2 linked regions of the Nothobranchius furzeri genome follow. The protein of the gene in region 1 purifies or fractionates together with the protein of each later gene. This does not show direct contact. Links are inferred from orthologs where the notes say so. Each region holds a gene or a part of one and is shown on either strand. Other genes may lie near its edges. The genes, in order: mediator of RNA polymerase II transcription subunit 13-like and cdk8.

What was found.
Region 2: the proteins of mediator of RNA polymerase II transcription subunit 13-like (region 1) and cdk8 purify together in Homo sapiens (affinity purification with mass spectrometry; 6 studies listed by BioGRID and IntAct, counting the BioPlex papers as one, with this or other methods). This does not show direct contact. The link is inferred for Nothobranchius furzeri from reciprocal best matches to the Homo sapiens genes MED13L and CDK8.

The regions. Positions count from the first base shown.
Region 1 is NC_091746.1:54,299,177-54,303,798, reverse strand, and holds the start of mediator of RNA polymerase II transcription subunit 13-like, read left to right. Parts: upstream 1-1,538; 5' UTR 1,539-1,731; coding exon 1,732-1,803; intron 1,804-4,622. UniProt on the Homo sapiens protein: Component of the Mediator complex, a coactivator involved in the regulated transcription of nearly all RNA polymerase II-dependent genes.
Region 2 is NC_091747.1:51,006,775-51,011,149, forward strand, and holds the start of cdk8 (cyclin-dependent kinase 8), read left to right. Parts: upstream 1-1,424; 5' UTR 1,425-1,626; coding exon 1,627-1,754; intron 1,755-4,375. Other genes in the region: E3 ubiquitin-protein ligase RNF6, read right to left, coding at 56-92.

The sequences.
Region 1 (4,622 bases):
GTTTTTATTTAATGTTTTACGTTTTCTTGTGGCGCTAACCTACATGGATTAGACTCTCTTATGAAACCCAGAATTAGCTCAGTAAATCAGGCTGACCTCTATTGTCACACCCTCTGTTTGTGAGAACAGTTACATTATGTAATCATCAGAGTGACACCATCTTGTCATAGAAAACAAACAAACAAACAAAAAATGTTCTCCACAAACACATCAGGGACACATTTGGGAAGTTGGGGACAGTGTCTCCACCGTGTCCTCCCCTCCAGCCTCACATCAGAGACATGTAATCCCACACTTTGGTCATGTGAGAACAAACTTGGCCAAACAGAAAGGCTAGTCTCTGTTGAGCGCTTCCGACCGCCATTACATTACAATGCGTGGTGGGCTGGACGATCGTGCGCAAAAAGGAAAAAAAAAAGAGGCTTCAGCGCTTCGCGTAAAACACACACACACACACACACACACACACACACACACACACACACACACACGCATTCACACCGATTCACACTGAGGGTGGCACATCCAGGCTGCGCGCACGCCCATCTAGCCGTGTAATAACGCACTCTTGTCTGACAGATAAACAATGAGGAAGGAGTCGCTGCGGTTGAGGAAATCATGCACATGCTGGAGGATTTAAACCAACAACGACCCGACCGCTTCTCGAGAGGCAGGAGCACGCGATTCGGCCGAAGCAGTCTGCAGAATGCAACATTCGCCTTGTGTTGGGATCGGCGCCAGACGAGGACGGTCACTTTTGCTTGAAGGGGAAGAAAAAACCCAGAAAACCTGTCTGATATTTTTTTCTGCAACACTGAGGCTTTTGTGGCCGTGAGAGAGGAGGTTTCGTAAGCTGAAAGGAAGGAAGGATTTTTTCAAACCTCCATCTACAGCCTGTTTTGTCGTTTTCCTGCTCGGTGGAGTGTTAGACTTTTTTCGTCTTGCCTTTGACTCATGATTCGGGGTTATTTATTGCTGGAAACCCGCTCGAGTTTCATTTTTTTGTCCACGGAGGGGAGCAGCGTGAGGAAGGAGGAGGAGGCGGAGGAAGGGGGGAAGGTTGTGTTTCTTTTTTAGCGGATCGTCTGCGGCGCGTTTGATTCAGGAGCAACAGAGGGATTAAATATTCCTGCTCGCATGCAGCAGCAGCGCCTGTTTGTGTGAGCCAGACTGGCTTACATTGTGTGAGAGAGGAGCGGTTGTGGCAAGAAAGGCGGCTATAAATAGCGCTCGAAAACTATCACAAATGGTGCATCAGCTTTGTGGAGCACACGGAATCACGTTTCCTGCGTGAAATAACCATCGTTTCCAACTTTGACGCTTATTTCACCCCCATTTTTTGAGGATTTGTGGATTTTTGCCTTTTGGATTATTTGGAAACTGATCACATTCCTTGTGTGTGTTTATGTGTGTGTGTGTGGATTGAAATGGATACTGTTTTGTTGATCAGATTTGGAATGACCTGGATTGGACCAATGTTGTGATCCCCTCTCATCACACTCACGCGCTCGGATTTATCAACATTTATTATCTTATATGTATTTTTGAAGAAAAAAAATTGGATTTAATGGATGCATCGCTGTACACATCTCTCTGAATACGCCCATTCCCGAGTCTTTTATCTTGAAGCCTGACTCTTAAGGGAACCCATCTGTCACCCCTGCTCGGTGTTGAGATACCGATGTAGGATTTCGACATGCCCTGCGCTGGCGACCCCAAAGGCGGACGATTATGACTGCAACGGCGAATTGGGTGGCTAACGGGGCAAGCCTTGAGGACTGCCATTCCAACATCTTCTCTCTGGTACGGTATGAATAAATCATGCTCAGCAGCTATAGACAAGTCATAAGACCCATGGGAGGCACGCTTAAATGTGTGTCTGCTGTACAAAGGTGAACCAATTGCTGATGTTGTTATTAGACAATCATTAACATGGGTTAGTGGTGTGGGAGACCAAAATAAAGCCACTATTACCACTAAACCTGCGGATCAACAATAGCTGCTATTTATATTTATCTTTTCCCAAATGCTCTAGTTTAGCAGCTACAAGAAGATAATTTATTGCCAAATGTCCACGCGTTTGTGAAATAGGATAACAATGCATGCTTCATTTTGCCAACTGGAAAATCGTGTCTAAAGAAAAGAAACAAAGATTTGCATCAACAAGGCACACGACGGAAGCAGCCCTTTCACAGAATCAGAGAAAAAAACACGTTTTTCACACTACATGCGGTGTCATTTTTGCACAACTCATCGCTTTTGAGGTTGAAGGAGGCAGAGCAGTGTGTTTTCACAGTTTTCCTCCTGCAATCAGCGAGTTAACTGTCTTACCACAACAGGCAGCCAAGTGGAAAGGCATGCACTGAGCTCAGGCAAGCAGGGCTGCTGAGAACCACAACAACATAGGGGTCCTGAGGGCTTTTCAGGTGATCCTGCAGGTTGTGGACCATGTTACGCCAATCGCCGCCACAAATTGTGGCACAGGGGGCTTGAGAAAGCTCCTATGAATGTTTCATTCTAGTCTCCAAGGTGAACGAGCGAGAAGAAATAGATCTTGTGTGGTTTCCCGTGCACTGACACATGCTCTCCGGTATCAGACATCTTAAATTTTCTCAGCTTGACAACAACAGAAAACAGTGATTGTGTCTCTGTCACCATCTCATCTGAGGCTATTCCCTCGTGGAAAAAAGCTTTCATTCACTCACCGAGGCTTTATTGGCCATCATGAACATCCCTTTCAAACTGAGGGTGAAAGAGACCATCCATCAGCTGGCTTGTTGAGAATATTTATGACTGGCAAGTGCTTCGGCGGTCTAACTGGCAGGGTTCCTGCAGGGTAGTCCAAATAAGCAATGACACACACACACACACACACACACACACACACACACACACACACACACACACACACACACACACACACACACACACACACACACACACACACACACACACACACACACACAATTCCTGTAAAAATGAAACAGAGATAAAGACACTAACGTGCTCATTTAAAATGCATTTGGATGTGGAAATAGGGCTGGGTTCAACGGTTAAAGAGGATTTTCTGTTAAAAGTGAGTTTATTTAAAACAGAAGCAGCTCACACCTTAGTTTTTAAACTACGATTCTCATTTCAGTCCTGTTCCTAAGTGCAGAGATAGTCTGACGTCCTACAGACGCGCTCTGGACTGACGGACTCTGCACTTCCATGCGACGTTGACTGTTTGCAAGGAAAAACTTCTCAAGGCTACTAATAAAACAGCACAGAGCACATGGCTAATTGGCATCTTTGCTGTTCTAATGTGGTTTGATATGGTTTAGCTCCTAATTCCTCTTTTCACTAGGAGAAAACTAGAAGATAATTGCATTTGTAACATAATTTCCCTCGTTAGATCATGGACACTTGTTAGAGACATTACAATCTTTATATTCTCATCATTATGGCAGTTTTTTAAATTAAAAACAAAAAAACGCTGATGGTTTTGACATTTTATTTGGGTTAGTAATTAAAAAGAGCCGCAGAATAGAAATATTTTGGATTCTAACAAACCATTAGTTGATAGGGACATATGTTAATAGGCTAATTTCTTGGGTTTGAGCTTAATAAATGATAAGAAGACAGGCTCCATGGTGGGAAATTTCCTAACCTTTTCCTGTGAGTAACAAAGGTTGTGTTGTTATAGATAAAGGTCTTCAGGCTAGCTGTTGAGCGCTCTCCTCTGACAGCCTGTTTAACAGCATTCAAGCATGCACGGACCTTGTTCCTCTCATTTGCTCACTGTTATTGCAACTCACAACAGCAAAACACACAAACAAAAACAGCTTATTAGAAAGCATAAGTGCTCATACTGTGGGACTTTAAAGGGACATGGCAGATTACTGTCGTGCACTCTGCGTGGCCAGCGTCGGATACTTGGGATGGCTGCAATCGCAGTACCCACAAAACAACTGTCTCCTGCGCTGGCGACCAACCATCTGTGACAGAAAGCAAACTAGACCCTTGTAAGTGTGAGTGTGTGCATGTGTGTGTGTAGGGGGTGCAAAAAAAGCAGAGCTGGCATGATGAAGGAGGGGGGAAAGGGCACAGAATGAGAGGAGAAACAGAGTGAGGCTTTTCAGCAGAGAAGGACTGCAGCAGAATCTGTTTTCATTTTAGGAACGTATTATGACTGATGTACATTTCCTGACTGCAAGCCTCAGCCTATTTGAGAGAAACTGAGAGTGAAAGAGTGAGCCAGAGCACGGAGGAGGAGGGGAGGGGGAATTAAGGAGGGAGAGCGTAATGAGAGAGGGGAAGGGAAGACAGACATCTTTCTGTGGACTGCGTAGGTTCCTTTAACAGTGACTCCCTGCCTGATTATGAAAGGCAAGGAGGAGACAGTTAAAGGCCTCTCAACACAGGAAGCCTCTGTGTGTGTGTGTGTGTGTGTTTATACTGAGCACACTGTAAACCACGCAGACTCGGGAGACAAACTTCAAACACCGACCACATTGTACTCACATACACACACACGCACGTACACACACACACGTACACACACACACACACACACACACACACACACACACACACACACACACACACACACACACACACACACACACACACACACACACACA
Region 2 (4,375 bases), on another chromosome or scaffold:
AGATTTAGATACCTGACAAGGCAGTTATAATATGGACGGTTGGCTCAGCTCTCACCTCTCACAACCCAAGATGGGACCAGCGGTACAAGCATTAAACCGTCCGTCTGAAACAAGCACCGCATTTTCTTAGTTCCTACAAAACAATACTGTCCAAAGAGATGTTTATTGGTTTTTTAACCAGTTTGAAAGGCAGATCAACATTATCAAAAATAATTAATTTATGCTGTATTTAAAATGAAATTGTGTACATTTTACTTTAACATTTGTTATAAGCAGGTCCTCCTAAAAATGACTGAGATCACGATCCAAGAGTAGGTCATGAAACACCAGTGGGTGTAATTTCTAGATGATCTTCATTAATCAACGTAAATCTAAGAAGAGTAGCTAATTTGTCACTATTTATTTACTATCACGGCTATTCTCTCCACACAAAAAGATAAGAGACGATGTATGAATGAGCTAGTCAAAGAATGCTGACAGTTCTGGATAAAGTAAAGAGCCTTTAAAACAGTTTTTGTTAGTAAATCCTAGAAATAAACAAACAAATAAATAAAAGAAGATCCAAACTGTGAGCCAAATGCAAATTCAAATGCATTGTAAAATGAGTTCATAGTAAGAATTCTATTGTTTCCAGTTCCCGATAATGCAATTTTCCTACTAACTATGACCAACTTCTGTACTCATTTTATCTAATCACCTCTTTAAAATGAATGGCATCTTTTCATCTATGTTTCTGTTGTTAAAACATAAATTCACAGTGATTAGTTAACAGAGATAGAAATTAGCTTTTATTGAAGACAAATACAAGTGTTGCACTGTCATTGTGAATCCATGATAAAGAGAAATCCAAAAGGGACACAGATGTCCCTCCACAAAATTGTCCTCCAACAAATTACTTTTTACCTCTTCAACTCACCGCTACTTATATGGATAAACCCTTGAAGATGTCATAAATGGGGGTTTGTTATAAATTGTCAAACACTTCCATCAATTATTGGGTATTGACAACTTACTGAATTAAATAGGCCCAATTTTCTTATTTGCTTAAAATTTAAAAGATGGATATTTTGTTTCTTATTTACAAAATCTAATTGAAGGGCTTTTTTAACCAATAAAAACGCTTTTTGGTGGTTTCCTGTCTGTAACACGACACTAAAATAAAAAAACGCTGTTTTCACAATGTAAATGCGTTACTGATGAGGTTCTAGACACGTATTTCAACGTGGTTGGGTCTGCTTATCCCATGTTTCCATCCTCTTTTCTCCGCTGCAGGACCGTCTTTACGACGTTTTACGACAGTGCTGTCGTTGCCGACTATGTACGTCTCTTTGGAGCAGATACCGGCTGGGGGGAAACGCAGCAACAACAGAAAGAAATAAACAATTGAGCTAGTTTCCACTAGGACTACCTCCAAGCGTCGCGTACCCCTCTTCGGAACATTCAATTTGACCCGAAAACTCGACACGTAAGCTGGGTTGAAAGAGGAAAGAGCCACGCTGGGTAAGGCAACTATCTGAAATACCAACCCGAGCTCGGTGGAGGAGCCCAGCTGCCTCCCAAGCGACGCTTTAAAAGAAGAAGAAGAATAAGGACGGCGCTTAGACATTTACCCAAACCGAGGTGAAAATGGACTATGATTTTAAAGTGAAGCTAACTGGAGAACGAGAGCGTGTCGAGGACCTGTTTGAGTACGAAGGATGCAAAGTGGGAAGAGGCACTTACGGTCATGTGTATAAGGCGAAGAGAAAAGATGGGTGAGTTGAAGTGCAGCAGGCCTTCAGCAGTCAGCCTCCCTCCCTCAGATTAACACATTTAAACCGCTTCCTCACGTTTTCTGGCACAAAGGCCCTGTTCTGTAGCTTTAGCACCGTCTTCTCTTTATTATGGGATGTCTTTATTTCTGCAACACGACTGTAGCGCATATTTATACTGTTTTTGGTGTCGGTCTTTTATATATTTTTACAAATGAATATTCATTAGATGGAGTTTGAATATATCTAATTTTATCATATGCAAGTGAGAAAACTCCTGCAGAAATTAACATTTGCGCCAAAACAATGTTTATTTGTGGAAATACTAATAAAAGTGATGATCAAATATACTTGAAAATTAAAAACAAAATGATTCAGTAGCAGAACATAAAGTGAGATTATTTTTAATTATTTAAATTATAACAAATCTGTTAAATATATATGCTATTAACTTCAGTTTAAGTAGCTCTCATTATTGCTGCTGTTAATGTTTATTTTAATTATTTGATACTGTATTATTATTATTGGGAAGCCATATGTTTTTGAGATAATAGAAATGTTACACGCCGTATAAAATTAAGCTGTTTTGTTCAATGAATGTTTTTACTGCAAAGTAAAAAAAATCACGTTTTTTTGGCTTGTGTGCTGGATTAAACAGAATATTTCATATTTGTTTATTTAAGGATCCCCATTAGTCTTCACAATAGTGAAAACTATTCTTCCTGGGGTCCACTTGATAAAAGAAACAAAAAGAAAATGCATACAATATCACATAGACAGTGTAGGATTAAAAGTACAATATTTCATATACAATGTAAGAAAAACACAAACTCCTATAATCAACCTCATAAAACAAAATCATAAAAAAGCACTAAAAAGTCAATTTAAAAATGGATCAATGAATCAATAAAACAATAAAGTGTCAGGGTGTTAATTCTATAAATCTAAAATCTATTAATCTGATTGAAATAGCTGTAACTGTTGTCTGATATAAGCTTATGTTTTACAAATTTCTTGAGATTCACTTTAAACGCATCATGAACATTTATTGTTATTAGTTCAGGAGGCAGGATATTCCAGCATGTGACTGCTCTGTAAATGACTGTTCCTTTAAGTGCATTGGTTCTTGGCAATGGAAGAGTAAAGATAAATGAGAGGCATTCCTTGTGTTAAAACCATGCCGCTCACAGGTTGGTAACAACTTTGTAAACAAGCTGAAAGGTTTATGTAAAACCCAGATTTTGTGTAACGACACAACCAGGCTGCAGGCCGGTCTGTCATTTACACTCATCCATGACAGATTAAAATACATCCAGTGGATATTAGTTTTAAAAGGGCAACCAAGAACCAACCTCGCAGCTCTGTTCTGAGCTCTCTGAAGCTTGTCAAGGTCTGTCTTTGCTGCACTGGACCAAACAACTGAACAGTAATCCAGATGAGACAAAACCAGAGACTGTACAACAAGTTTTCTGGTCTCCAGTAACATATACTGAGCATTGCTCCTAATTACATAAATGCTCCTACTCATTCTCTTTACAATATTATCAATATGTGTAGTCCATGACATTGATTGATCCAATGTTATGCCCAGTAGTTTGGTCTCTTTTGCTTGTTCAGTTTGTTGTCCCCATAAATAAATGTCTAACTGGTGGGTTTTTCTTACCAAATTCCTAGAGCCTAATAGCATACACTTGGTTTTTAATACATTCAATTTTAGCTTATTTCCCTCTACCCGCTCAGAGATAGACTTTAACTCCTGTTGAAGCATAACATTGACCTGAACTAAACTTGAAGCTGAAACAGATATGGTCGTATCATCCGCATATAGAGTCATGTGCGCTTCACTGCATGCAAAAGTCATATCATTTACAAATATACTGTATAATAAAGGACCCAAGCAACTTCCTTGGGGAATCCCACACAAAAGAGTGCCAGTGTTTGACCGACTACCATTAAATATAACACATTGTTTTCTATTAGTCAAGTAGCTACTCATAAAATTGATAGCAGTCTTGTTAAAACCATACGCTGATAGTTTCAAAAGTTAAATGTCATGATCCTCAATATCAAATGCAGCACTAAAATCCAGAAGCACTGCTCCCACCAGCAGCTTCCTATCAATCTGTCCCAACCATTCATCAGTAAGAGTAGTCTGTGCCGTACTGGTAGAAAATCCTTCTCTGTAAGCATGTTGAACATCAGTGTAAATGCCATTCACCCTAAAATAATGTTGAATCTGTTTAAACATCACTCCCTCCATCAATTTTCCCAGAACTGGTAAGATAATGATCATATAGAATATTTATATCAGAAGAAGCTAAAGCTCTTTTATTTGATGCCGTATTTTGTGTTTTATGACAAATTTGCCCCAATATGTTGTGACTTTTAAAAATTTGTGACGGAAAAGTGGCCTGAAATCAAAAGCGAGGAGAAAATGCAACAGTGGCATTTTTGGTTTCAGGGTTCAGCTGTTAAAACGTTGCTGGCATCGCCTTACTTTCTAAAACGTTCTAATACAATATCTTTAAGCCCATCTGAGTCCTAGAACTTCATACCAGCTGGAGCCACACACCTAAAAGATGTTTGTGTTGTTCATGAGAGTCCATTAACTAAGTTATGCTGCC